Rattus norvegicus: one gene and its partners. The protein of the gene in region 6 purifies or fractionates together with the protein of the main gene of each other region. This does not show direct contact. Links are inferred from orthologs where the notes say so. Each region holds a gene or a part of one and is shown on either strand. Other genes may lie near its edges.

Region 1 (3,972 bases), on a different chromosome or scaffold from region 6:
AAGTTCAACTCAGCGACAGAGGCCTGGGAACTGAGACACCCTGGAGTAGACCGGAGGCTGAGGCACACTTCAGCCCCGGCTGGCTTTTTTACAGCCCTTGATAATCTTTCCCAGTGCTGTGCACAAATTATCTCCTGATCTCCTTCACCTGATAACCTTTCCCTCAGGGGTGGGTTTCCTCGAACTACTGACCTGACCCGCAAGGGCCCTTGCGTAGCCTAGGGACCTGACTGGAAGATTGTAATCTGCGCAGGCAAGCTTATCACATTCGCCGACCAGAGGGAAGAATGCAAAAGAAAAAGGCCTCCTGACCTAAATGATAAAAACAATGAGTAGTGTAGAGCGTGGCAGGGGTGGTGTACACCTTTAATCCCAGCACTTGGGCAAAACCGGCCGCATTTCTGAGTTCCAGGGCTGCAATAAATAGACAAATAAATAAATAAAAAATGAAGAGCGGGGTTGGGGATTTAGCTCAGTGGTAGAGCGCTTGCCTAGCAAGCGCAAGGCCCTGGGTTCCGTCCCCAGCTCCGAAAAAAAGAAAAAAAAAATGAAGAGCGAAAAAGACCCTTTTATCTTCAAAGTCCAACACCCAAACAAAATATGTCGTGTCCTTTGGGCGTGGAAGCTTGAAGTCAGTAACGTTGATTTTATTCCTTCCAGTTGATTGTCTGCAGTGAAACGGAGGAAAGTCGGCTACAAAATAGAGCAGCTTTTAAGCGGGCTGGGTCCTCGACGTTCCAACACGGGGCAGGGCCACTCACTGTCCGGTCTTTTCTCGGTTCTCTGAGAGTCTTGCCTATTTTCCCTGCCACTGGCTCCGTAAGCCCCGTACTACAAAGGGGCCTTCAACACGAACGTCCTCCTCGGAAGAGACCCAGCCGAGCTCAGCAAGAGTCAAGCAGGGGCCGCCGGCGAGGCGACCTTAACCCAATTCTCGCGCGGACGCACGAGACTTTTAAAGAACAACGTCGACAGTCCCGCCCACTGGGGGGTCATATTACCGGCGCCCGAGTCCCGGCCTCCTATTCGTTCCTGGCCGCGGACTGGCTGCTGATTCGCCTACAGGGCGTCGTAGGGTTCATACCGGAAGTAGGCGCTTGAATCTTCGGCTTCCTGAGCGGAAGTGTGTCACAACCTGGTGGTCGACCCTTGGAGGAAGTTCGTCACGTCGCAGTTGTCTGGGCCCGGCGGATGTGTGTCGCCGCTTAGGTGACGCTGGGAAGTGCTTGCAGCCCCCGCCGCTGCCTCTTGGTTGAAGCACTATGGAGGGAGAGAGGAAGAACAACAACAAACGGTGGTATTTTACTCGAGAACAACTGGAAAACAGCCCATCGCGTCGTTTTGGCGTGGACTCAGATAAAGAACTATCTTATCGCCAGCAGGCGGCCAATCTACTCCAGGACATGGGACAACGTCTTAACGTGTATCCTTGCGGCCTAGGCCATCTGCCTCGGAGCGCGTCCGGCCATGCTTCGGCGTCCGGGCCGGCGACGCTGGCGGGTACAGAAGTGGGTAAGGTGGTGGTGGTGGCAGGAGCTGGGAGTCTAGTGGGGAGAGCCCACAATGGCGCTGGCCGAACCACTGTTCGCGCGAGGGAAGTGAGGCGGAGTCAATTTCCCGCTCGCTCACCGGTGCCACCGGCCGGGCTGCGAATTCGTGCCTCTCCTGTCTTTGTGTTTTCGCTACTCCTCCTCGGCCCCTGTTCTCTGAATTCTGCCCTGGTTTAGTGGCTTTTGAGAGTCTCCTTTCTGCCGTGAGCTAAGGCTCCATGTAAGACATTTCACCATCGACTCTGCCTCCCGAAGTGTATAAAAAGGGTTTCTGGGAATTCTCAAAGGACTTATGAAGGTGGTCTAGGATTAGTGTTCCAGTTTTGGTTCCAAGCCCATTTCTCTCCCTAGCTGGCTAACCTGTCAAATTATTGTTTGTTTTGTCCCCCCAATGTCCACCACAACGCTTGATATTCAAACGTTCCAGTAGCTGTTTCATAGAATTTAAGAGGAAGGAAAGATGTCAACTTAGGTTTGTAGGGAGGTATATGTGTTGATAGACTTTTAAGAGTTTTCAGAATATTAAGTTCTTGTTTTTCAGGGCACTAGTGACAGTTTATTTATCAGTTTTCAATTTAGAGATAATGTAGTTTGGTGGATTCTTTTTCCCCTCCTGTCCCAGTTTTTTTCCCTCATGAAAATGTAGTCTTTTGTGGCAAAATTAGTAGTTTTAAAGTTCTTACCACTGCCTGCCCCCCTCCATATATATATACATATATATACATACATACATACATACATATATATACATACACATATATACATATATACATACATATGTATATGTATGTATATATATTTTTTCCTTTTAGTTGCAGTTTCCACTTGTGTAGCATTTATTTAAGAGTGATGCTGAGGGCTAGTCTTGGTGTCCAGTGCCTTTAATTGGAGCTTTGGGGAAGTAGAGGCAGGACGTAGTAAGACCCTGTATCAAAAAAAAAAAAAAAAAAGGTGCAGAGTTTAGGTCTGTGGTGTTTAAATCTGAAGGTTGTGTATTGTTCCAAATAGGTGTTTTCTCTATTGCCAATTGTTTCCTATTGAAATCCAGTTTCCCAGTGTGTTTACAGCGCCTTTTAAGTGTGTGTTTAAGCTTGTCGCCCTCGGGGTTGGGGATTTAGCTCAGTGGTAGAGCGCTTGCCTAGCAAGGGCAAGGCCCTGGGTTCGGTCCCCAGCTCCGGAAAAAAAAAAAAAGGAAAAAAAAAAAAAAAGCTTGTTGCCCTCATATTGTCACCTCTCTGCAGACTGTTGCTGAGATCTGTGGGGATAAGTACTTAAGTTCTTGGGGAGGTTGGAATGGTGCCTATACAAATGGAAGACTGGACCAGAGGAAGGCAGGAGTTCCATTTTTTCAAATCATTTCAAAGGTTTTATACTTCAGAGGTCATGCTTTATTTCCTGAAGGTATCAGAACTAAGCAGGGTGTGGTGGTGTGTACCTTTAATCCCATTAAAGGTACTCTGGATGGGGAGGTGAGCAGATCTCTAATTCTGATGTCAGCCTGATCTACAGAGCAAGTTTCAAGACAGGGATTCATAGAAAAATCCTGCCTTGAACACTGCCTCCACCCCACCCCCCACAAAGAAAAGAAAGTAGAACTGGTAAACTTAATTACTGAAGTTCTGAAGAGGAGAGAGAAAAGTTCCAAGAGCCTAGTAAGGGAGGGCCTGGTAAATATCCTTAAAAAGTTACGCTGGTGGGGCTAGAGAGATGGCTCAGCAGTTAAGAGCACTCACTGTTGAGGCAGTGCCCAAATGGCAGGCCACAGTTGTCTATAACTGCAGTTTGAGGGTAATCTCATGCCCTCTTCTGACCTCTGGAGCACCAGACATGCCCATGGTGCATCAGGCAAATGCTGATACACTTTAAAAGAAACCGTTTTAAAGTTATTCTTGGGCAGGCAAGATGACCCAGCAGGTAAAGGCACTTATCCACAAGCCTGACAACCTGAATTCTATGCCTGGGACTCAGGGTGGAAAGGTAACCGGCTCCTGCAAGTTGCCCTCTGACCACCACACTCATGCTGTGGCCTGCACCTCCCGCCCAGAGTGAATGTAGTAAAGAAAGTTATCCTGAGCTAAAGGATCATCTCTGCAGAAGGCAAGTGACAGGACAGGAAGTCTGAGATCCAATGTAGCGCTGCATTGTATGTTGATTTACGTCTTGCTGCTTGTTTTGTTTATTTTGTTAGGTCCATAGTAAGCACCTGTAAGGCAGAGCACATGCTGTCCCTCTAAGTTAGTGAAGGCAAACTGATCTGCCTTGGGTGGAAGAGTTAAGTTCACTCTCCTGTGGGATCTTCTATTGTGCTTGGCCATTTGTTCCTTTGGGAAGGAGATTATATTGTCTGTTTTTGAACCTTAACTCAAGCACTTTCAGCTCACAACTGACGATCAATACTGCCATAGTATACATGCACCGGTTC
Region 2 (3,967 bases), on a different chromosome or scaffold from region 6:
GGGAAACAAGCTAAGAGAGGTAGATGCTATACTTGGAGAGCATAAACCTAAGGAGGTTTTAAGTAAGAAGACAGAGGCATAAGGTTTTGTTGTGGTTCTACATCCATTTGGCTGCTAGATGATGGGGCAGACAGATGAGAGGAAGCCAGAAAAGAAGCAACCTGAAGTTCATTTCCTTAACGATATGGACAAGATCTCTAGCTATAAAATTAAGAGAATTAAGTACAGATTTCGGTGGTTCCAAAGCTGAACTGGACTTGATGCCGAACTGGCAGTTAAGAAGAGATGTGTTCTAACGTGTGTTTTAAAAGGGATGATTTATTGAAATAGAACAACTGGGGGGATGGATATGTTTAAGGGGAAAGATGGATCTTGTTCAAGATCTAGATTAAAAACTCATTCCAGCCAGGGCGTAATGGTGCATGCCGGTTAATCCCAGCACTAGGGAGGCAGAGACAGGCGGATCTCTGAGTTTGAGGCCAACCTGGTCTACAAAGCAAGTTCCAGGACAGCTAGGTCTACACAGAGAAACCCTGTCTGGAAAAACAAAGCAAAAAACAAGAGTAACAGAAAGCGCATCCTAAAAACCCGGAGCTGGAGTTACACTGGATGGCAGTCAGGAACTTGATGAGAGAGATCTCTCACTACAGGTCTCCCTCGGTCCTGGTTTTTGGCATCTCCTGAGATACCAGGCAATTGCGAAGCTTTCTCCAGCTCGGCCTTCAACACTTGCTATGGGGCTGAACTTGGTACTAAAGGTTAACCGAGGGGTTAAGACAGATAGCAGAGGCCCTCGGGGGCTGGAGGGGGGACGCATCGGGCCGTAAAGACCTTGCGGTAGACACAGATCCGCTCCGCCGCCCGCCCCAGCCTCCGCCACCATCGCCTGACATGCTGCAGACTTGGCCTCTCACCCGCATCGCTCTCCTCAGGCCGGGTTGCTTTGTTGTCCTCGGCTTCCTGGCCGCGCTTCCTCCGCTTTCCGCCTGCGGTACGCTTTCGGGCCATGCTAGCCAGAGGCGTTCCTCCGGACAACCACGCAGGACTGCCGAAAGTCTCCGCGTGCCGGCTCCGCCCCGAGGCGTGCCATGCCTGGCCGCACCCCCAGCTCCGGATAGGACCACGCCCTCCAAAAAATCCCGCCCCCATGCAAACTACAAGGGCGCGAAGGGACAAAAATAGTGTAGTTCGCCTTCCAGTGCGTGGCGGCCCAACGTTTCCTAGTGTCTGCTCTCGCGAGAGGTGGAAAGGGCGCAGCGTTTGAAACATGGCGGACGACGTAGATCAGGTAAGTTTGTCCTGGGGCGTCCGAAGAGGAAGTGCTTTCGTTTCTTAGCCGGGCTTGCTTTTTCCACGCTTCCCGTGGAATGGCCCTTTTCTTTTTCCCGAGTTCCCACGGCCTTCCGCAGCCAGGCCTGCTCCTAAAACTTCCGTAGGCCCAGAGTTTCTCAACCCGCCCATCTGCCCATCTCGCTCGTCGTCGCCCTTTCTCTGTAGAATGCAGACGGCTGTGGATATCCCATCTATGGGAGATACGGTCGGGATTCCGACAGAAAGAGTACTGTAGCGGTAGGACACCAGCATAGTAATACGTGTAAGCACCTGGCACGCAGGCAGTGGCTCACTTGGAGTGTGTTACGAGGGGAGGTCAGATAAAAGGTGCAGTTATGTGAGATAGAGAAACTGCTAGAGATGTAGTATATAGAAAACAAGCAAAGACCTGGCACACAGTGTTTCTCTTCAGAGCATGTTGTTTTAAATGTGTTCTTTATTTAAAATGTTCGTTCCACAACTAGAATATAAGTTCCTTAATAGGGATTTATTGGGGCTTAGTGGTTAAGAGCACTTTTGGCTCTTGTAGACAACCCTGGCTGTGTACCAACACCCACATGTTGCTTTCACTGCTTAACAGTGATTGAAACACCACACTACCTCAGTGTTCCATTACTAAGCCTTCTTCTCTCATCAGCAACAGACCACCAATACCGTAGAGGAGCCCCTGGATCTTATAAGACTCAGCTTGGATGAGCGAATTTATGTGAAAATGAGAAATGACCGAGAGCTTCGAGGCAGATTACATGTAAGTCTGTTAAGTTATCTCAAAACCAGATGCTCCCCTGTCATCCCTTCCTACCTCCTTACAGATAAGAACTGCAACATAAACTTATTTTTTTTAATTATACAATGACTTTTGGGAGTTGGAAATTCCTTTATTGGCTTTTAAAATATTTTTTCCTTAACCAGAATGTTTTTTAGAGAGGGATGGGACTCCTGTGAGACCAGAACAAGGCATCTGATTGCCCAGAGCTGGAGTTACAGACAGTTGTGAGCTGCCTGGTGTGGTTGCTAGGAGCCAAACTCAGGTCCTCTGCAGGGATAACCAGTGCTCTTAATTTGAGCATCTCTACAACCCTGTAGAACACTTTTGTTTTCTTCAGCTTTGTCCTCTGTTTATTTAAAATGAATAAACTTCTTTTTGTTTTAGACAAGGTCATACTATGTAACCCAGCTAGCTTCAAACTCAAGATCCTCCTGCCTCTCTCTCCTTAGAACTGGGATTTTAGACATGCACTACCACTCTTGCCATTGTCCTATGTTTTTAAAAGTTATTGGACAGGGTGTTTTGGTTTTCGACATATAAAACTCTCCTTTGACATGAAAAAAACTAAATAGCAGGCCAGAGATCGTTCACCTAGTATGTGGCAAAGCCCCTAGCACTACCAAAAAAAAATTAAACACCATAGAAATCTAAAGGTGAAATTCCATTTTCTCTGCACTATTCAAAGTTGGCTACATAGTCGTCCACATCTTTTCTGCATGTGTATATGCTGTCTGTGTTTGAAGGAGGATCCTAGTGAGGTACGGTGGCATGTGCCCATAATTCCAGTACTTAGATGACTGAGGTAGGAAGGTCATATATTTGAGGCCAGTCTGGACTACATAGTGAAACCTTGTCTGGTATGTACACACCTTTTCCACACGGTTTCTGTGTGGAATGATTATGCAGCTGACACAGTTGCCCAGGATTCTCTATAAGGCTTCGGTCACTTTTTTGTTTTTCCAGCCTTAAAACTGCATTGTGCACTTTTACATATATTGCTTGTGCACATTTATGATGCCTGTGGAATTGGTCCCTTGAAGTAGCATTATTGTGCACTTAGGGTTTTGTCTCTTCTTGTTACTTTCCTCAGAGCTGTTGGTTTACAACGGGAATTGGAATTAAGTCTTTTTAGTTCAGGCTTAGAAATAGCCCCATACTGGCACCCACAGAGCCAGTGTGGGGGACAGTCTCAGTCTTTCTTCTATGAAGAAATTTTTAGTTCTTTCATGAAACCTGAGGATAAAGAACCTCTGTGACTTGGAAGGAAATTGGACTGTTGATCTACAAGCCAGCATTAGGGAAACAGCGGTGCCAGTTTGGTGAGAAACATGGGATGGAGCTAAATTGAAAGGCTCTTCGGCACATGGAATGACCCCAGGCTAGACCATCGCCTTTAGTTTGGAGGTGTCTGAAGCTCTTACCTCTGTAGTAAGTGGCCCAGGTTTCTGTTTCCTCCCTGCTCTCCAGCTGAACATTTTGCTCATTTGTGTAGCTGCCAAGCAGTTCCTTCTCAATGTGGCGCCTGGCTATTTTTAATCTTGATATGAGCAGGCAAAAGCACTTAGCACTTTGTTAGAAGAACATATAAGTGGGTTCTGAACAAGCCCCAGGAGGTTTGCTGTTAGTAAAAGGGATGAACTTTGGAGGTTGCACTAAACACTGTGGTTGCAATCCTTCCTGCCTGAGCCCACAGATGCCAAAGCATGTTAAGCTCTGGACAAGTTATAAATGGGCAAAGTAAAGGTGGGACAGATGATTGGTGGGTAAAGTTTGAGTGCTGAAGTTTAGATCCCTAACACCTGTGGAGACCCCAGAACAAGCTCTTGCGTTCAACTTAAAGACACTACCTTAATACATACGGTGGGG
Region 3 (3,946 bases), on a different chromosome or scaffold from region 6:
GACCTGGAAGAAGATGGAGTAGGCGGGAACAACTGAAACAAGTCAAAAAGGCTTCGCTCCTTTCCAACCTTTTTATTTGTCCTTATCCAACAAACATTTGCTGATGGTTCTGCTGTTATTGAGGAACCGAAGTGAGTGAGGCCTGAGTCTCCAGTCCACAGGTGAAGAAAAACAGGCCGTAAGTACCGTGCCCAACAACAGCGCCACAGCAGAGGCCCAAGCCCGGAAGACTCCTCCAGGAATTCGGCCTAAGTGCAGGAGCACTGAGAGGAAAAGAGCAGACTGGCCAGCAGTTTAGCATCTAATGGGGCGCGCGCATTGCGTCATACCACCCAATCAGAATGGAGTCTAGAAAAGTAATCCCGCAGAACCGGCCCCGCCTCCCCAGCGGACCAACCCGGAAAAAAAAAATTCCCGGCTACTTCTCCAATAGGAAAAAAAGCTGCACGATATCGGATGGCCAATCAGAGCAACAGACTACGATTCAAGCTGGCCAATGAGAGAGGGAAAGGGTGAGGTTGGCGCCTCTGTTGCTGGGTAGATGTTTAAGCACAGAAAGAGGTCCCGACATTGCTCTCTCTCCCTCGGTGCTGAAAAGGTCTTTACTGACTAGCTACGAAAACCCTGCACTACCCATCCCTCCAGCTTGTCTTCGGTTACTAGTCTCAGAAGTAGCAGTCAAAGAATAAGTAAAGGAGGACATCCAGTAAGACCTAAGGTGCTCCGGCAATTGGGAGCAGGCAGGAAGTAAGAGACGTGAGGAGGGCGGGGCCCTGGCGCGACTGCGTAGAGCCTACAACTGAAGTACGGAAAGAGGAGCGCGCGCACGCTTCCGTGCTACGAGGCACTTGAGCCACAGCCAGCCTCAGGCCTCGGTGCGGCTGCGCGGTTATGTCGCCTTCGCTGATTGGCCCGGATCTCTAAGAGGAGGGAGGAGGAGTGAAGGAACTCTGTCGTCCTCGGCGCGCACTACCCGGCAGTGGAGTACTGAATGTCTCGGAAGCTGCTCCTCGCTGTCTTGTTTTGGGCTCAGTGAGCCGAAAGGGGCAGGGCAGGAGGAAGGCGACACAAACACGCCGCGAAAACAGCGCGGTCTCTGCCTCTGTGTGCGTGCGCTTGCTAGCGCGGGCTCAGTGCTGGCGCGGGAGGCGGAGGCGGGCGGCGGCGCCTGCGCGGTCGGGCTCGGTCGACAGTTCGCAGGGGAGGAGGCGGCGGGAGGCGGAGGAGGCGGCGGCGGCGATGGAGGTGAAGCGGCTGAAAGTGACCGAGCTGCGGTCGGAGCTTCAGCGGCGGGGCCTGGATTCGCGCGGCCTCAAAATGGATCTGGCTCAGCGGCTTCAGGAGGCACTGGATGCTGAGATGTTGGAGGACGAGGCTGGCGTTGGTGGGGCCGGGCCCGGCGGGGCCTGCAAGGCGGAGCCTCGGCCTGTGGCCGCGTCGGGCGGAGGCCCGGGCGGGGACGAGGAGGAGGACGACGAGGAGGAGGAGGAGGACGAGGAGGCGCTGCTTGAGGAAGAAGACGAGGAGCCACCACCTGCTCAGGCTTTGGGCCAGGCCGCGCCGCCGCCTCCGGAACCCCCGGAGACGTCAGCCATGGAGGCCGAGCCCGAAGCTTCCGACATACCGGCGGAGGCCACGGCCGGGTCAGGTGGGGTAAATGGTGGCGAAGAGCATGACAACGGCAAGGGGGAGGAAGACGGGCCGGAGGAACGGAGCGGAGACGAGACTCCCGGATCCGAGGCACCGGGTGACAAGGCCGTAGAGGAACAAGGTGAGGAACTGGCAGCAGAGCCCGGCTCCAACCTGCCGGGTGCGTCTCGGATCTAGCACCCCACCCTGCACCACGCTATCTGATTCCTTGTTTGCACTTGCCCGAAAGTGCACTGTTCTAGTGGCTGATGGGTTTCTCCCGGGAAGGTGGCTTTCATCCACTGCCCATCTTTTTGAGGGTTTGGACGTCTTGTCTCTCCGCTGTTTGCAGGAGGGAGGTTCCTGCCTAACGTGGTTCCTTGGTGTTAGTGGATGGGTGTGTGTGTGTACCTGGTGTGTATTGGTGTATTGCTTTCGGACTACCTGTAGATCAATCTTCTGGTGCCCACCCCCACTTTGGCTGAATACCTTTTGCCGAAAATATGCTGGAAAATGTGGCGATCTACAAGGGACCTCAGCCTTCAGCCTACCTGACAGTTCGTTCCTTACCTTAAAAATGTTAAGCAATAAACAGTCCGTGAAATGCTGCTCTGTCAAACCTACGTTAGTCCTCAAAGAGACTGTATATCTAACCTTGTCCCTTCCTGCTTAAGCGGTAGGAGACAGTGTGTGTGTGTGTGTGTGTGTGTGTGTGTGTGTGTGTGTGTGTGTGTGTGTGTGTGAGAGAGAGAGAGAGAGAGAGAGAGAGAGTGAGTGAGTGAGTGTCTCTTGGGTTTAATCATTAACTAGCAAAGAGAAACTCTTAGGCTGGTAACATTTTTAGTAATATGTTAGTTACTTGACTGGGGCTTTTTACTTTGTCCCTGTTGTGTTTTTATTTTAATTGTCCTGCCCAGTCTGTAAATAAGCATATTTATACACTTATTCTACACTGGAGCCTTTAAGGCTCCTAACTTCCTGAGCTGAAATGATTGAGGGATGCTTGTGGTACAAGATTTGTGGAGACTTCCCACAGGAGTTAATGACCTTTATCCTTTTGAAATGTGTGCATGGTTAGAGCTAATCTATAGAGTGTCTTTCAGAGGAAGGAGAGCTGCTTCTGAGTCTACTTTCAAATAGGGGGATTTGTTTGTTTGTTTTGCCTTAGGGCTTTTTGTACTGTTTTTTGTTTTGGCTGTTAGTACTATAAAGTTGAAATGTATTCACAAAGTATAGCGTTTGGAGTTTTGTTGTGTCTGATGTCCTGGGACCGAAATCCTATTACGTAACTCTTAATTTGTGTTATCCCAAATAGCAGATAAAAAGCATTGAAGGATAAGGGAGAGTTTTAGTGGAATTGTTACAAACACGTAAGCCTACAAAACATTAAAGCCTAAGAAAAAACTTCATGTGTTTCCTTGTAAAGAGTGTTGCTGCCAAGTTTGGTGTCACAGGCCTTCAATGCCAGCACTTGAAGGCAGAGGCAGGCAGATCTCTGTTTTAGGCCAGTCTGATCTAAATAATGAGTTTTAGGACAAGCAGAAACTACATAGTGAGACCCTGTCTAGAAAAAAACAACAGTAGCAAAAAAAGAATGTTACTAAATATACAACACCACCTTCCTGCCCCAAACTCCATGCAGTAAAGATGCAGTGTTATTTATGGGTTGCTTGTGACTTAAGAGTTTCTCTGGGTTCAAGTTCCTATTAAAAATACACCTGTCATTGTAAGGCCGTGCATTTTAACGTAGAAAAGGTAGTCTCTTAAAGAAAATGTGAGGGTTCTGTGTCACGTAGCTGCTGAAAAGTGCTAGAAAATAGTCCTTAAGTACTTGCCATGAGAATCGAAATTCACCTATTGGAGTAGATAAATATAGAATCAAAAAATTGCCCAAGGGCTGGAGAGATGGCTCAGTGGTTAAGAGTACCCACTGCTCTTCCAGAGGTCCTGAGTTCAAATCCCAGCAACCACATGGTGGCTCACAACCATCTGTAATGAGATCCGATGCCCTCTTCTAGTGTGTCTGAAGACAGCTATGATGTATATAATAAGTAAATAAACCTAAAAAAAAAAAAGAAAAGAAAAGAAAAATTGCCCAATTTAATTAGCCCATGGTGGTCTTCCCTCCATCTCACCCACCCCACCCCCCGCCCATCTTAACCAATAATTTTGGAAATAAAACATGGGTATAATAGGAACACTGTCTCAATCATATAGCCTCATTTTCCTTAAGTTTACTCAGAGTCTCTTAGTTCTGAGCTCATTCTATGCTCCAAAATAAAAACTACTGATTTTCTTTCCCTCCCTTTTGTAGGAG
Region 4 (3,500 bases), on a different chromosome or scaffold from region 6:
CTTCTCAGAAGCCTCTCCGTCCTGGGCTCCATTGCTGGAGCCTTTACAACTTTCCATGGCCTCCATCCCTCCCCTTTCCTCATCCCTTTCATCCTCCATAGCTTCCGGTGTTTCCTCCTGGCACAGTAACTTCTGGCTGAAGCAATGGCCACCAACAGCAGCAGACTCGCCTTCCGGCACATCAAGTCCACACAAGGCACTCTCTTGGAGGCAATGGGTCATGTCTTGGCCACTACTCAGCTCTTTGGGAGTGGACTTTCTCTCTTCCAAGGCTAAGATGACATCCTCAGGAGCCCGAGGCACCTCCCGCAGCTGCCTCACTCGCTCTCTTCTCTTCCGCCTTAAATGAATCCACGAGTTTTCTATGGCTGTCAGGAAAAGGCTAACTTCTTCTCTTCCACAGGGAATCCGCTTATGTTGCACCTATGAGGAAGGAAAAACAGAATTTTATAGGAAATCACCTGTCACTATTTATCAAACTCCTTCAATAAAAAACAAACATACAAACAAAACCCTGTAAAGGTCATGTAGGTAAAGTTTCGTCAGTGCACTGGCCACACACCTTCAGATCAGTGAGGATTTTTTCTATCCATGTTGTTACAACCACTATGCCTTCCACTGTCTCGGAGCCCAAAGATGAGGCTTTGAGGGATAACTCTTTCATCACAGACCCCAACACTACAAAAGTAATGGGTTTCCTTGGCTTTTCCAATTTTCTTCGTTTACTTGGAGGTGACTGAAAGAAAAAAGAAGAAAGTTATCCCAACTTTAAAGAAAGTACACTACAGTGGACACAAGCAGGGACCTTTTCAGGGTTTCTGCTCCCAACCACAGGACCCGAAATATGAAGGCTTTTGTGCATGTCATTTCCAGTGCTGGAGCCAGCTCTGGAAGAAAGCTTTCCACTTCCTTCACCTTACAAAAGAAAACTACGACAAGCTATGTCATTATAGCTCAGACTCATACTTTGTAATGGCAGGTTGGGATTCAAACTCCAAATCCAAATTCTTCAAAACCTATCACCTTGCTAGACTCCAGCTACCAGTACAGACATTCTCTACACTAAACCACCTTTCCATCTATGGCGCCCAAGCATGCCCATAATCAACTGCACAGGGGCAGGAGTGACAGCACAGTTTGTAAAGTGTTTAGCACGAAAGCCTTAAGATGTACATCTGATCCCAAGGGTCATTATTAAAAAAAACAAAACAAAAAATCAAAAAAACAAAAAAACAAAAAAACAAAAAAAACCACCAGCCAGGAATGGCCGGGCCACTGAGAATCACATGGGTGGAAGAAGTTGGGCCTGTGAACTGGGGATGGAGGATACCGGCACCAATGAGAACACTACATTTGAAAGCCAGGGCCGGGGCTGGGGATTTAGCTCAGTGGTAGAGCGCTTGCCTAGGAAGCGAAAGGCCCTGGGTTCGGTCCCCAGCTCCGAAAAAAAGAACCACACACACACACACACACACACACACAAAAAAAAAAAAAAAAAAAAAAAGGAAGCCAGGGCCGTGGGCATCCAGATCACCTTCTAACTTTCTACCTAGGGCTTAAGCAGACTGCAACCCACCCACTGGAGGGACCCAAGTGCTACTTAAAGCATCAAAAGTAACACGACAGCAATTACATTATTTCTTTAAAGTTAAACTCTCTACAGAACTCTTCAGTTATATTTAGCTAAGAATACACACATGTCCCTTTCCTTTGGGGGAAGGGACAGTGCTGTTTTACTGTGTTGCTTTGGCTGGCCTAGAACTCAGAGAGATCCAACTGCCTGTCTTCCTGAGTAAAGACTGGGAGTGGTTGCCAGATACACTTTTTTTTTTCCCTTTTCTTTTTTTCGGAGCTGGGGACAGAACCCAGGGCCTTGCACTTGCTAGGCAATCGCTCTACCACTGAGCTAAATCCCCAACCCCACCAGATACACTTTTATACAGATTTGTGCTAATCAATAAAAGTAAAAACATTTAAAAATTAAGACACATACAGAGTGACCAGGAGACAATACTAAAGAAAAGTTCAAAGAGAGAAGCAAGTGGAAGACCGTTTCCTGTGAACAAGTACCCCAAGAACTGTGCTGCCCTAGCTCCAGTTTTCCCTGGCAACACCCACAAGGCCCGTGCACACACACGCAAGTAAAGGTTTGTCACATTAACCAGTGACCTCACACTGAAGACACTTAGAAAACAGCCAGTGGCTTCTATGCAAGGAAACATGTAAAGTGATGTCAGAAACATTTTTCTAAGAAACAACCTTCTAATTTCTTTTCTGGCAACTGGGGACAGACAAAAGCTATGGATCAAACCCAGGGCCTTGCATATGAGTGCTCTATTACTGAACTATATCCCTAGTCCTGTTATTTCTCCACACTAGAATTAACCAATAAGATTTCAGATAAGCTGGGTGGTAGTGGCACATGCCTTTAAGTCCAGCACTGCAGAGGCAAGGGCAGGGGATTTCTGAGTTCAAGGTCAGTTTGGTCTACTGAGCGAGTTTCACGACTGCCAGGGATACACAGAAAAAGCCCTGTCTCCAAAAACCACACACACACACACACACACACACACACACACACACACACACACACACACACAACACACCTGGGGGGGCAGCACAGGTATGTGTGTGTATGTGCACATGTGCAAGGGGAGGCTTGAGGGGGATGAAGTAGAGATGGGAGAGGCAGTAACAAAAACAACAAATCAGAAAAATACCAAATGCACCCGGAATCAAAGCCTCAGGAGGATGAGACAAAAATCACAAGTTTGAGGCTTGCCAGAGCTATATACCCTGAATCCTGTCTCAAGATGAAAACAAAAGCAGCACAATGGTTGTACGTGTGTAGGAGAAACTACCCTCAGAATCAGTAGATCCTCATTCCTTTAGGTTTCAGACAAGATGAGGGAGTTCAGAGTAGCACGAAGACAGTACCTCAGAGTAGCACGAAGACAGTACCTCAGAGTAGCACGAAGACAGTACCTCAGAGCAGCACGAAGACAGTACCACTGTTACCCATGAGAACAGACAGGGTTCCTACAGAAGACTGAGAGCCAAACACACAGGGACCCTGACATGAGGCTGCTATTAAGCTGGGAGAAGAAAGACAATGGCACACAGAATGACGAGGGACAAAAGTGGGACTTTACACTGCTCTGCACAACATCCACAGCCACAGCAGGACAGGGCTGTCCTAACAGCCTACCCCGTACACTACAAGAATGGCAAAAAGGACAGTCACACACCATCTTTTCTGACAGTCATCTTTTGTGCTGAGTAATCTCCAGTGAAGATCCTGTCATTTCTCCTCTGCTATGGGGGAGCTGCTCTGCTCTGTTATTCTTTGAAAGTTAACAGTGAACTCCATCATTTTTAGAAATTAAAAGAGATTAAGTTCTGCCCAGATGTGGTGGCAAACTCCTTTAGTCCCAGCACTTGGGAGGCAGAGGAAGACAGATCTTTGAGTTCATGGCTAGCCTAGTCTTTAGAGTGAATTA
Region 5 (4,246 bases), on a different chromosome or scaffold from region 6:
CTTACCTAGGAAGCGCAAGGCCCTGGGTTCGGTCCCCAGCTCCGGAAAAAAGAACCAAAAAAAAAAAAAAAAAAAAAAAAAAAGAAGAAGAGCCCTGGGTAGTGGCGCCCAGGGAGTCTCCTGGGGCAGAGGAACCGTACAAGTGAGCTCATCACTGACATTCTGCACCAGGCCTTCCAGAAGCTTGGTAAAACAGCTGTCCTGCTCGGGACAGCTCAGGGCAGAGCTCCGATTCCATCGCCAGTAGCCAAAGGAAATAAAAATAAATAGAAGGGCAGGGGAGTTGGATCCATGGGTAAAAAAGGCTGACTGGTGAAAAGGCTAGACTGATTCCATGACAGACTTCAAACTGGCAGTTAAGGAGAGTAGGCCTAAATCAGTTTCCAAGAACTGGGCAATTCCAGGCAAGTCCAGGCCTCAGAAGCTGCCCTGCCACCTGGCCTGAGGCAAGGACAATGGCTGGGTCAACAGCAGTTTCCAGACTTCCTCAGCAGCAGTTTCCAGCCCTCCCCAGTAAGTTTCCAGCCCCCACACCCCAGTAATGGAATGTCTGTAGAGATGGACCCAACAGATTAACATAGAGGTCACCTACCCCAGAATTCCCTAATGTGCTTTAAATCAGACTTCCAAGTTCACTTGGGTGTCTATTCTGGTAATGGGAGACCACAGCATGCTGGACTTCTGCAGAATAAAACATTCATTGCCTTTACATACTATTTGAATCCACGGTATCATTCTTCGGTGGCGAATCATGGACCCTAACACTGGGCAAGCATGAGAACCTAACTTTGTATCTCAAGACGACAGATTAAAACACACCTGCAATCCCAGCACCAAGATCTCAGGAAGTTTGAGACCAGCCTGGTCAACACTGAGTGTTCCAGGCCGGTTAGGGCTGCACAGAGAAACCCTAACCTCTTCCCAAAATGATAACGATTAAAAAAAAACAAAAACAAAAACAAAAAAACAAGGTGCTGGCTTGGTAGCCTACAGCGGCCATGCCAGCACTGAAGAAGTTGCGTACCAGGCTATTGCGAGTTCATGATCAGCTTCAGCTGCCACAAGAACCCATCTCAAAACACGAAAATTCCAGCGATTTGTTTCCTGTCGCCGGGGAACGCTGGCCCTGACGTTCGCGTTCAAGGATTATATTTGGATTGATAAAGAGAAAGAGCTCCATAAGGGCGAGGACGGAAAGATAGGAGCGCGAAGAGGGTATGAAGCGGGTTTCCCCAGCCCAGCGCGATTCACATGCATTAGCCAGTTTCGCCCACAGTGTGGCGCCGAACCAGTCAGGAGTGCACATCTGCGCAGGCGCCATTTCCCAACATACACCATGAGTGGGCATGAAGAGCACCGCGGCCTTTTGCGTCACTCCGGTGTCACGCTTTACGGCCGCTCCTCAATCCCACGGTGGGAATACGACGCGATACGCCGCCGCGTTATGTAGGCACCGCCTTATCCCGTTCCGATTGGATCGGTCCATTTAGTCACTCGCTGATTGGTTATAGTTTCTGCCAGTCTTTTTCAGGCTGGAGCGCGCGGTAGACTGCCGGTGGGAGTGCGAGTGGCTGTGCAGCGGCGGAAGTTATCTCTGCAGGGAAGATGGTGAGGGCCGCGAGGCGGCGGGGCGCGCGCTCAGGGTCTTCGGGCTGCTGAGAGATGGGGAAACCTGAGGCCGGAGGTGACCAGTGTCTCTCTAGGGTCCCAGTCCGCCACCGTTGCGGATTTATCTCTTGAATGGACAAGGTTTTTTGCGGCCGGAAGGACTATGATCGCTTCCGGAGCTTGTCACCGTTTTTGATAGGATTGCTGCGTTTCCGGGAAGTGGGCGGACCTAAGGGCTCACGTGGGTTCCATTGCCCACTTGATGCTTATCAAGTGTCTGACCTCAGCTGCCTACGCCTTTGGCCGAAAGTCCAACCCAGATTGAGGGATGTTTCTCTCCCTTGGACACATAGCAGGTCCTGCTCGGGAGGAAGGAAATTTTTTCTCCTAGTTCAGGCTCAGGCCTTCCCAGTTGTGGGACCTGACATGATGGAATAGAGGAGGCCAGGTTTCCCTGCTGCTCTATCGAGGGGCGCGTTGGCCCAAGTTGGGAGAGCTGGACATGCCCATCTCAGTTCTTGATGGTAGAATATTTGGTTTTGTTTTTTGGTTAGGCTTTCTGATCTGAACTTAACGTAATCCAGGCTAGCCTCAAACTCATCCTCTTGCTTCAATCAGTGGAGTATGGAAAGGACACGTGTATACCTCCATGTTTGGGTTAGGACGGGAGGCAGATCTCATATAGCCCAGGCTGCTTTTGAACTTCCTTTGTAATCACGTATGACTGAACTCCTGATCCTGCCTTTACTCCAGAGCGACCCTGGGTTTTGTGGTGCAGGACCTCAGGGCCTAACACATGCTGTGTAAGCACTCCCCACTAGGTGTACCCTGAGCCCCTGAGACTCCTTCAGTCTATTCCCACCATAAAGCACCCGCCCAGCCTCTGAGCCTCCCTGAAGGGATGGCCAGGTGTGTCCAGGACTGGACACCCTCTCCACGCAGGTACGCACAGACACTCCCATATCTCTGCGGCCCAGCTGGTACAGGAGTGTCCCAGCCGAAAGTTTCTGAATTCGGAGCCCAAGGCTTGATCCTCCAGCCGTCTCATCTACACGCTGGATCCCAGAGAGGCTGGAGGGTGGCTGAGAAGGAATTTCCTTTCCTGAAACTGCTCCTCTGATGGGAGGTGCTGGGACTGGAGCCCAGAGCCAGTGGCCATAACACCTGCAGGTGCAGGTGCTCAGTGTAAAGCTGTATCTCCCCACTCAAAAGCCTGTGACTATCCCAGCTCCACCCTCCCTGTCCACCCTGGCCCGTTTCACTCTGAGCTTTTTTTCCTTCGTTTTGGGAGGCCTGCCCAGCTGGAGCACGGACTAATTACTTCTCTATGAACCCCATTCCTTCCATTCCTCTGTATCCCACTGCATGCGCAGATCTGGGGGTGGCGGCCTGTCCCTACACCACACTTACCTGTGGCTCTGGACAGGATGCACCTGTGCTGGGTATCTCCACCCTGCCTGTTCAGCAAGTGTTTACTGCCCCTCCCTGCTGCAGGAGAGCCCGCGCCCACACTGACCTTCTGTCTAGCCAGGGAGACTGGTGCTGATCACCCTGTAATTAGAGAGCGGCCCCTGCTGTGGTGGGTGGAAACAGGCTGGCAGCCCAGGGTGGCCATTAGGGGCCTAGTCACAGGAGGGGACATGCTCAGCAGGATTGGGCAAAGAAAGTCTGGGGAAGGGCACCCTGGGAGGTGGCTGGGGCCCGGGCAGGAGGGACAAAAGCTCAGTAGTAGGCTGGACCTTACCATGGCTGCCTCACAGCCAGACTAGCCTGTGCTGGCCATAACAGCTCCAGAAGAGCTGTGTATGTGCGCCTGTTCTTGTTTAGTGATGTTTGCCCCTGAGCCTTTGCTGTGCCTTGTCTTCAGGAGTTTGACTGTTCTATTTGTTCCTTTATTGAAACAGGGTCTCATGTAGCCCAGGCTGACCTCACATTGTAGCCAAGGATGACCATGGCTCCAACTCCCTGGAGCTTAGCCACAGGCTGCCAGACTGTGCCTCTTTTTCACTGTTTATTTGAGGGTCAGACTGGACACCATTGTCACTGATCACCAAGGCCACCCTCCCACCACCCATTTTCACAGAAGCCATCCTCTGCCTCCTACCCTTTCAGGAAGTCTCTGCAGGAAATGGGCTCCAGCCTCACTTCCTGCCACTGAACCCCCACCCCCACCCCTAGCTCTTCTCAGGAAGGGCCCTGTGCTGCAGGCTCCCCCAGCCCTCTCGTGACCCAGAGTCACCAGGCTGGGCACGATGGCCCCGAGGATCTGAGTCCTTGATGTTTGTTTCTTCTGTTTTAAATGATTTATTTTTATTTCATGTGCATTGGTGTTTTGCCTGCGTGCATGTCTCTGTGAGTGTGTTGGTTCCCCTGGAACTGGAGTTATAGGCATTTGTGAGCTACCATGTGGGTGCTGGGAATTGAACCCAGGTCATCCAGAAGAGCAGCTGTGCTCTCAACCACTGAGCCCTGTCTCCAGCCCCTTGTGATATTGTTGTTGTTGTTGTTTGTTTGTTTGTTTTGCTGTGTGACCCAGTTACCCTGGAACTTAGATCCTCCTGCCTCTGCCCCTCAGTGCAAAAATTAAGTGCCTGGCTGTATTTTGATTTTTGGGTGAATTTTGGAGACATGTCTAATG
Region 6 (3,955 bases):
ATGCGCCGAGGGAAGCCGCTTTTGCGTCTGAGCAGCTGGAGTAGCTCGCCATCTTCCGAGTGAAAGCCTAGTGAAACTACAAGTCCCATAATCCACGCCGGCGCCTTTATTCCCCCCCCCCCCCATAAGCTGCAGCGGAGCACCTGAGGCACTTCGTTCTTGTCTCTGCCTAAAATCTCCTTCTCCTTCCTGTTTCCATGTTATGACCCCTATCTTTTAGTTTCCGTCACGCTCTTATATTTTGAGACCATCTTGGGCCCCCCTCTTGCTTCTTTTCTGATAGTCTGCTGACAGGGAAACTCCGCCAGCCATCAGTCTAGGGACTCGGCATGGAATCAGTGCTTCCCATTGGCCGAAGCAGAAGGCCCAAAACAGGTCGATACCCGTTCCCGCCCACATTCGCTTGTGTGTCTAGTGGAGCAAAGCTGCAGCGATAATGCTGTAAAATCCACAACGCGAAAGGTGGCATTGACGATAACAACAACGCCACCCTTCGCGCTGGGGACTGATGCGCAGGCGCCGCACTGTAGCGGAGGCGTCCGAGGCCTGACGTAGGTGAAGGGAGGAGAGGAAGGCGTGGTTCTCTAGATGTTCCTCGCTGGTGGAAGGGAGGTCGCCTGAACGACCAGGCCGTTTCAGGGGAAGAGGAATTTGTACAGCCTCGATGTTTTAGTGCTTGCTTGTTTTCAATTCGAAGAATATTTTAAACAATGTATTGCATTTAATTGACAACAGTTCTTGAGACAGTGTGCTCGACTCCTTCGCCTACTTTATCATTCCCCCCTCAGGTTCTCCTAAATCCTTCTAATTCTAATGAGATGGGCGGGAAGAAGGAGGGGAAGGACTAGATTGCTCATGAATAATTCATGAGCTTGCCCCTTTCCTGGGAATGCACAACCCTTGGAAACGTGCTGACGCACGCTGCGTGCATCTAACCTAAGGAAACGACGTCATACTCCCCGCCCCTAGGACGGAGGGGGCGGAGCATCATCTCCAGCACGTGTTGCCCCTTCAACCCGCGCAAGCCCAAAAGGACGGTGCGCAGGCGCTCTCTAGGAGGGGCGGGGATGGGGGAGGAAGGAGGCGGGGCAGGGAGGTTGTTGGGTTTAGAGCCGGGCGGAGACCGCGGAGCCTCATTCCTCAGGAACAAGGGTCGGGTGTCAAGGAGACCTTTTCACACCAGCTCCCGTTCCCCGCCTACGGTGGGTGGGATCTCACAGCAGAGACAAAGGATATCAGTAGGGCTTGGACTTAGCAGCGAAGGGAAGTCGGGTGTCCGTGTGGGGCGGTGGGCGTCTCGGGCTGGGGGAGGGTGAGGCTATTAGGGAGGGGGGGCTGTATTTAAACTCTCAGAGCCGTTAAGTTGGTTCGCACTCCCGATGCGCGCGCAGCCTGGGTGGTGGCGGAGCGCGCATGCGTGGGTCCTGGGCGAGCGGAACGCGCGCCCGTCGTGCGCGCTCGCGGCAGAGTGGTAGAGGCGGCGGAGAAAAGGGTGTCAGCGCACGCGCAGTTGGTTCCTCGGCTTGTCCGGGTCTCGCGGGCATCTTGTTTTGGTCTCGCGGGCGAGTGGAGCGCGCTTGGTGTGTTGCGGGAGGGAGGTGGAGGCGCTTGGGCGCGAGGCAGAGCTGCGCGCGCACTCGGGGAAGGAGGGAGTGAGGTGGTCTTAGGAAGGGTTACAGGGGGGCTTCCCCTTGATCTCTTCTCAGTACCCTCGCTTGGGAAGGGGAAATTAAACAGGGAGAGGAGATGATCGAGATGGCGGCGGAGAAGGAGCCCTTTCTGGTGCCAGCCCCACCGCCGCCGCTCAAAGATGAGTCGGGTGGAGGGGGCGGCCCCGAGGTGCGATCGCACCAAGAGGCTGCCTCCGGGGAGCTCCTCGACGGGACAGAACGCGGGCCGGGCCCACGCGCGCACTCGGCCGGGGCCACAGCCAGCGGAGGGGGCGGCCCCCAGGCACAGACGCATGGGGAGCCCCACGGGCGAGCTGCCGCTCCTGCGGACGTGGGGGAGGAGCGCCGGGGAGGGGGCGGGACGGACCTGGGTCCCCCAGCCCCTCCTCGACCTCGCAATGGCTACCAGCCCCACCGACCCCCAGTGGGTGGTGGGGGCAAAAGAAGAAATAGCTGTAACGTGGGGGGAGGGAGCGGTGGAAGCTTCAAACATCCGGCCTTCAAGAGGCGCCGGCGAGTGAATTCGGACTGCGACTCCGTGTTACCATCCAATTTCCTTCTGGGGGGTAATATATTTGATCCACTGAACCTGAATAGCCTCCTGGATGAGGAAGTGAGTCGCGCACTCAATGCGGAGACCCCAAAGTCATCCCCACTTCCGGCCAAGGGGAGAGACCCTGTGGAGATCCTCATCCCAAAAGATATCACTGACCCACTCAGTCTCAACACGTGCACTGATGAAGCCCATGTAGTGCTTGCTTCACCACTCAAGATTGGTCGCAAGCGCCATAGACACCGGGGACCGCACCACCAGCAGCAGCAGGCATCTGGAGGGAATGATAGCCAAGCTGTGCTGCCCACTGACCCTCTCACACCCTCAGTCCATGGGGAGGGTGCTACGCAGCAGCACAGAGGCCAGAACCGAGATGACCCTCAACCCTATGAACTCAACACAGCCATCAACTGCAGGGATGAAGTTGTGTCTCCCCTTCCGTCTGCCCTGCAGGGTTCCTCAGGCTCCCTTTCTGCCCCTCCAGCTGCCTCAGTTACCTCTGCACCCTCTTCCTCCTCCTCCCGACATCGCAAACGTCGCAGGACTTCCAGCAAGTCAGAGGCAGGGGCTAGGGGTGGAAGCCAGGGTTCCAAGGAAAAGGGCAGAGGGAGTGGGGGAGGCCGTCACCACCACCCACTACCTGCAACTGGCTTCAAAAAGCAACAGCTCAAGTTCCAGTATGGGAATTACTGCAAGTACTATGGCTATCGCAATCCTTCCTGTGAGGACATGCGCCTTAGGGTATTGAAGCCTGAGTGGTTTCAAGGCCGGGACGTCCTAGATCTGGGCTGCAACGTTGGCCATCTGACCCTAAGTATTGCCTGCAAGTGGGGCCCAGCCCGCATGGTGGGGCTGGACATTGATCCACGACTTATCCACTCTGCCCGCCAAAATATCCGACACTACCTGTCCGAGGAGCTTCGTCTCCAAGCTCAGACTTCTGAGGGGGACCCAGGGACAGAGGGGGAGGAAGGGACTACCACTGTCCGAAAAAGGAGCTGCTTCCCAGCCTCACTGACAGCCAGCCGGGGTCCCATCGCTGCACCCCATTTGCCCTTGGATGGAGCGGACACATCTGTCTTCCCCAACAATGTCGTCTTCGTCACGGTAAGAGTCCAGAGGCTCTTGGAATAGGGTCCCAATGTGAAGATGAGATTAAGTAGGGATGTGTTGGGGGGGATGGCCATATCCATGCATCTGTTCCTTCATACAAGAACCATCTCCCGGAGAGAACAGTCTGGATTGGCCAGAGAATCTCTGCTGGGTGTGTTATCTCTGCTCCTATAACGTGGAAAGTGGGATCTCTACCTTCAGGCTCTAACATCTGGTCTTTTCTCATGACTACAAACAAGGATCTCATCCCTAACATAGGGGGCTGACTTGTTCTGCTTCCAACTGGGACTAAAATCCAAACAATCCGCTTCCCTTGAGGGTAACCTCTCCTGTTGAGTCCAGATGGAACCTTGTCCTCAAATCTCCTGAGGGAGCCTGAAGTTGGGTGTCTGGGGGAGGGGAAACACTCCAATATGTGTAGTTTGGGACTTTGATAGGGACTTTATTTGCCTTTTTTCCCCAGATGCAGCACAGACTGCTGAAATTACTGGTCAGGAACTCATGGGCTTGTCTTCCCATGCTGACTGAACAATGAGAAGGGGCAGTGAAGGCAGGGCTCTACATGGAGCGAGTGCCCAGCCTGACATCATGCTAGTTCCCTCCATTACACAGTTGTTAG
Region 7 (4,147 bases), on a different chromosome or scaffold from region 6:
TCATATTTTTTTTCTGTAAAACCCAGTTCACATGTTTGTTTCAGAATGTCCAGCAGATATCTCTCTCTCTCTCTCTCTCTCTCTGTTATTATTTCCTGGTTGTCCTAGAACTCACTCTGGAGATCAGGCTAGCCTCGAACTCAGAGATCCACCTGCCTCTGCTAAGTGCTGGGATTAAAGAGGTGCGCCATCACTACCCAGCTCATGCCCAGCATTTCAAAAACGCGCAGGAGTGCCTGTTCAATTTTAACCATTTTTGGGATGATTGACGCAGGACAGACCAGCTTAGCCGCAGCTCTGTGAAGGAAGGCAGTAGATCCATCCTTGCCTTCCTGACCACACAGGATCCAGGGTTTAGGCCTGAGCGTCGCCGCGCCCCCTGGCGGCCGTCAGTTGCCATGTCAACGGCGGGTGGCTGAGACGGCGGAGGCGGCAGCGGGGGCAGTTCTCTCTTCCCCGGGCCTCAGGCCGCTCCCTCGGCACCTCCTGCCTTCGCCTCACTGGGAGCACACTCCCAGCCCTGGAAGAAGGGCCCTTCTGTGGCAGCTGGCATTAGGGGGGTAAACTGAGGCACGCAGCAGGGCGCCGCAGGCAGGTGTCTAGTGCGGAGCCCCACCTCCAAACGCAGAGGAGGGGCTGCTAGCAGTGACGCGCCGAGGGCGGACGCTGGACTGGGAGCGGGAGGGCGGGAGGCGGCGGCGGCAGGTGCGGCCGCGGAGGGTGGGAGGAGGAGGGAGGGGGCGGGAGGGGGAGGGGAGGCCAGGACGGGGACCTCCCCCTTTATAACGCGCCCCCTCCCGGGCTCTCGGGCCGCCTCCTCGTCTGCTCTTGCTATCTCGCCCCCTTTCCTGGCCGCCCCGGGCCGGGTTTGGCCAGGGAGCCCCCGCCCCCAGGCCTTCCCCACACCCCCACCCGTCGCCCCGCGCAGCCCGGCGGAGGCGGCGCCGTCGGAGGAGGAGGAGCAGGGCACTGCGGCTGGCCCCGGATCGGGAGCCAGAGCGGCAGCAGCTTCGGCAGCAGCACGGCCCGGGCCAATGCAGCGGGACGCACCGCCACGAGCCCCAGCCCCAGCGCCACGGCTCCCTGCGCCCCCGATCGGGGCCGCCAACAGCACTAGCGGCGGCGGCGCAGGCGGGGGCAGTGGCGGCGGCGGAGGCTCCTCTGCAGCTCCGGCTCCCCCTGGCCTCCCGGGAACTACAAGTCCCAGGGGGCCTGGCGGCGGGCGGAGACCGGAAGAGGCGGGCTCGGCACCTCGAGGCCGGAAGTGGCCTTGGAGGCGGAAGTGGCGCGGCCGCGGAGGGGCCTGGAGTGTGGCGGGACCGGGAGCGGCGGGAGCTGCGGCTGGGGGCGGCGGCGGCGGCGGCGGCGGCGGCGGCGCGCTGGAGGCGGCCATGGCCAAGCAGTACGACTCAGTGGAATGCCCGTTTTGCGATGAGGTCACCAAGTACGAGAAACTTGCCAAGATCGGCCAAGGCACATTCGGGTAAGATTAGGCCGCGTGGGACCGGTAGCCCAGGACCTGCACTTTCCATGGCCTATATCGGGTCGTTCAGGGCCGGGGCCCGAGGTGGTACGGAAGCTTCTATTTCCTTGATTGTTGCCTGGTCTTGCTAGGCCGCGCCGCAGACGCTCCCGGCCTAACCGAGCGGACTGGCAGGGAGGAGCCTGAGGCCCGTGATGGGGGTTGGGTAGGGTTGCTGAGAGGAACTCAGTTTGTGAGCGGACACCTCTGGGGGGAGGAGTGGGAGCCGAGTAGGAGTAAGAGCAGGGGCTGGGAGAAGGACAGAAAACACGTGGTGTGGAATAACAGCTTACAGGAGTCCCGGGCCGCACCCCACCGTGTGTCTGGTCTCCCGCTGCTCCTCTTCGCGTGGGGGAGGGGCGGTCCCTGCGGAAATGCCTGATGGGTCCCTCGGGTCTTTGTGTTGCAGGGAAGTATTTAAAGCCAAGCACCGTCAGACCGGCCAGAAGGTGGCTCTGAAGAAAGTGTTGATGGAGAATGAGAAGGAGGGGGTGAGTATATGGACCACTGGGCAGTTCTTCTAACCTGTGCTCGGTTTCCACACTGCTACTTAAAAGGGTTTTGTGCTGAGATTCCACCCAAGTATTTTTCGATTTTCCGTGTGACAAGACATTTGGCTTTCCACTTAGACTTTTGAGTTTTTGTGGCAAAGTTCGGTGGGAGGCAAGTGAGGGAGCCTGTGCTTTGCGTGAAAGTGCACGTTGCCTCTAGAAGTGGGGTTTTTGAAAACTTCCAGCTTAGCGTCGAATTTTGTTTTGTACGAAGGGACAATTTGTGCACAGGCAATTTAAAAGGCAGCTTAGCTTAAGGCGTGTTTTGAAGCATGATGTCCCCGTCTTAGCTTTAGTACAGCGTTTTCTTTGTAAGGAAAAAGCTGTTTGACTATTTCCTGTCTATGCGTGTCTTGTTTTCTGGTGTGGCTGTGTACAGCATGCCTGTCTGGTACCTGGGCACCTGAGGAGACCATGCTAGGCTGCCTTGGATCACTTGGGACTAGAATTAAAAAGATCCACCATGTAGAGGCTGGGATTGAACCTAGGTCCTCCGGAAGAACAGCCAGTGTTGTATGTGTGTGTGCATGCATATGTGTATGTCTCCCTGAAATAGGGACTCAACATAAGACTTGTTTAATACAAAAATCTCTCAGTATCCCAGCTGTTCTCAGACTCGCAGAGGGTCAACTGCCTGTGCCCGGAGTGCTGGGAATAAAGGCTTGGGCTGCCACTCTTAGCCAGGACTGGTTTGCTTAACTATTCATCTATCTCTGGACCCAGGGAATTTCTTGATTTTAACCCACAAGCATTAGTGCCAAAGATTTTGTCCCTATTTGAGTTGTCTAAAATAAATTCCTGGCCCAGCGTAGAGGGCTATGATTGTAGTTCCAGCATTTACGAGGCCAAAGAAAAAGGATGGTTCACAAGTCCAAAGCCGCCATTGTCTAGATGGCAAAATCTAGCAGCTCCTTGAGTGAGATGTGTGTGTCCTTTCACTTACCTTCTGCTTTACAGAGACTGGTTGCAGATAAATATATTTATTTTCCCCTCAAGCAAGAGCTCAACTAACCAGACTGGCCTTGAACTTGGGACAGTTCTACTCTCTATTTGACTCCTGATAGTAGGATTGGATTCCAGACAGGAACCGTCTGTCACACAAAAACTATACTCTTACCTGCCTTTCAACCTCTGTCCCTCAGTATAGATCACACACACACACACACACACACACACACACACACACACACACACTTTTACTTCATGGGTCTGTTGCTCTCAATTTTGACCACTTCCTCTCTTTCTCCTCCCTAGTTCCCCATCACAGCCTTGCGGGAAATCAAGATTCTACAGCTCCTAAAGCACGAGAATGTGGTCAACCTGATTGAGATTTGTCGAACCAAAGGTACGATGCTCGTTCTCGGGATAAAATGAACCTTAAACCTTTGCTTGCACTCCTGAGGTAAATGTGCTTAATGCCTCCTCCTGACTTGACTTGATCACACAGCTTCCCGATCTGTTTTGTTTTGAGACAGGGTTGCCCTGTGTAGCCCTGGCTGTCCTTGACCTTGCTCCATAGACCAGGCTAGCCTCACACTGCCTCTGCCTCCCTAGTGCTAGGGCTAAAGGCATGCACCACCAGTGACTGACCACCAGCTTCTCCGGGCTTTCTCCGATGGAGTTGGGTGTTTGTGGATTGGAGGGCTGGGAGTTGGCTGTGGAAAATGAGGTGGGTGCAGGTTTTTTATTTTCCCTCCCACCCTCTCTCCCTATTCTGCACCAGCTTCACCCTATAACCGCTGCAAAGGCAGCATCTATCTGGTGTTCGACTTCTGTGAGCATGACCTCGCTGGGCTGCTGAGCAATGTCTTAGTGAAGTTCACGTTGTCTGAGATCAAGAGAGTAATGCAGATGCTGCTGAATGGCCTCTACTACATCCACAGGAACAAGGTGAGGCCTGGGGCCGGGACAGACTGGGGCTTCTTTGCTCTTCACTGCCTTGTGGGTGGGTCTCTGGGATACTATGAGACCTGACCGAGCTCTCATGCGTCCTCCCTGCAGATCCTGCACAGGGACATGAAGGCTGCCAACGTGCTCATTACCCGAGATGGGGTCCTAAAGCTGGCAGATTTTG

The links.
Region 1: the proteins of Mepce (region 6) and Ccnt1 purify together in Homo sapiens (affinity purification with mass spectrometry; 3 studies listed by BioGRID and IntAct, with this or other methods). This does not show direct contact. The link is inferred for Rattus norvegicus from reciprocal best matches to the Homo sapiens genes MEPCE and CCNT1.
Region 2: the proteins of Mepce (region 6) and Lsm3 purify together in Homo sapiens (affinity purification with mass spectrometry; 3 studies listed by BioGRID and IntAct, with this or other methods). This does not show direct contact. The link is inferred for Rattus norvegicus from reciprocal best matches to the Homo sapiens genes MEPCE and LSM3.
Region 3: the proteins of Mepce (region 6) and Hnrnpul2 purify together in Homo sapiens (affinity purification with mass spectrometry; 3 studies listed by BioGRID and IntAct, with this or other methods). This does not show direct contact. The link is inferred for Rattus norvegicus from reciprocal best matches to the Homo sapiens genes MEPCE and HNRNPUL2.
Region 4: the proteins of Mepce (region 6) and Mettl16 purify together in Homo sapiens (affinity purification with mass spectrometry; 3 studies listed by BioGRID). This does not show direct contact. The link is inferred for Rattus norvegicus from reciprocal best matches to the Homo sapiens genes MEPCE and METTL16.
Region 5: the proteins of Mepce (region 6) and Lsm4 purify together in Homo sapiens (affinity purification with mass spectrometry; 3 studies listed by BioGRID and IntAct, with this or other methods). This does not show direct contact. The link is inferred for Rattus norvegicus from reciprocal best matches to the Homo sapiens genes MEPCE and LSM4.
Region 7: the proteins of Mepce (region 6) and Cdk9 purify together in Homo sapiens (affinity purification with mass spectrometry; 10 studies listed by BioGRID and IntAct, counting the BioPlex papers as one, with this or other methods). This does not show direct contact. The link is inferred for Rattus norvegicus from reciprocal best matches to the Homo sapiens genes MEPCE and CDK9.

The regions. Positions count from the first base shown.
Region 1 is NC_086025.1:131,594,139-131,598,110, reverse strand, and holds the start of Ccnt1 (cyclin-T1), read left to right. Parts: upstream 1-1,172; 5' UTR 1,173-1,262; coding exon 1,263-1,423; intron 1,424-3,926; coding exon 3,927-3,972. UniProt on the Homo sapiens protein: Regulatory subunit of the cyclin-dependent kinase pair (CDK9/cyclin-T1) complex, also called positive transcription elongation factor B (P-TEFb), which facilitates the transition from abortive to productive elongation by phosphorylating the CTD (C-terminal domain) of the large subunit of RNA polymerase II (RNA Pol II).
Region 2 is NC_086022.1:125,577,018-125,580,984, forward strand, and holds the start of Lsm3 (U6 snRNA-associated Sm-like protein LSm3), read left to right. Parts: upstream 1-1,167; 5' UTR 1,168-1,267; coding exon 1,268-1,288; intron 1,289-1,969; coding exon 1,970-2,080; intron 2,081-3,967. Other genes in the region: Xpc (DNA repair protein complementing XP-C cells), read right to left, coding at 915-1,008. UniProt on the Homo sapiens protein: Plays a role in pre-mRNA splicing as component of the U4/U6-U5 tri-snRNP complex that is involved in spliceosome assembly, and as component of the precatalytic spliceosome (spliceosome B complex).
Region 3 is NC_086019.1:215,141,604-215,145,549, forward strand, and holds the start of Hnrnpul2 (heterogeneous nuclear ribonucleoprotein U-like protein 2), read left to right. Parts: upstream 1-1,146; 5' UTR 1,147-1,239; coding exon 1,240-1,771; intron 1,772-3,943; coding exon 3,944-3,946.
Region 4 is NC_086028.1:60,180,817-60,184,316, reverse strand, and holds part of Mettl16 (RNA N6-adenosine-methyltransferase METTL16), read right to left. Parts: intron 737-3,500; coding exon 563-736; intron 424-562; coding exon 1-423. UniProt on the Homo sapiens protein: RNA N6-methyltransferase that methylates adenosine residues at the N(6) position of a subset of RNAs and is involved in S-adenosyl-L-methionine homeostasis by regulating expression of MAT2A transcripts.
Region 5 is NC_086034.1:18,792,057-18,796,302, reverse strand, and holds the start of Lsm4 (U6 snRNA-associated Sm-like protein LSm4), read left to right. Parts: upstream 1-1,446; 5' UTR 1,447-1,521; coding exon of another isoform or gene 1,522-1,605; coding exon 1,606-1,608; intron 1,609-4,246. UniProt on the Homo sapiens protein: Plays a role in pre-mRNA splicing as component of the U4/U6-U5 tri-snRNP complex that is involved in spliceosome assembly, and as component of the precatalytic spliceosome (spliceosome B complex).
Region 6 is NC_086030.1:24,547,441-24,551,395, forward strand, and holds the start of Mepce (7SK snRNA methylphosphate capping enzyme), read left to right. Parts: upstream 1-1,155; 5' UTR 1,156-1,746; coding exon 1,747-3,330; intron 3,331-3,955. UniProt on the Homo sapiens protein: S-adenosyl-L-methionine-dependent methyltransferase that adds a methylphosphate cap at the 5'-end of 7SK snRNA (7SK RNA), leading to stabilize it.
Region 7 is NC_086021.1:36,396,217-36,400,363, reverse strand, and holds the start of Cdk9 (cyclin-dependent kinase 9), read left to right. Parts: upstream 1-1,347; 5' UTR 1,348-1,391; coding exon 1,392-1,483; intron 1,484-1,931; coding exon 1,932-2,013; intron 2,014-3,327; coding exon 3,328-3,418; intron 3,419-3,796; coding exon 3,797-3,963; intron 3,964-4,074; coding exon 4,075-4,147. UniProt on the Homo sapiens protein: Protein kinase involved in the regulation of transcription.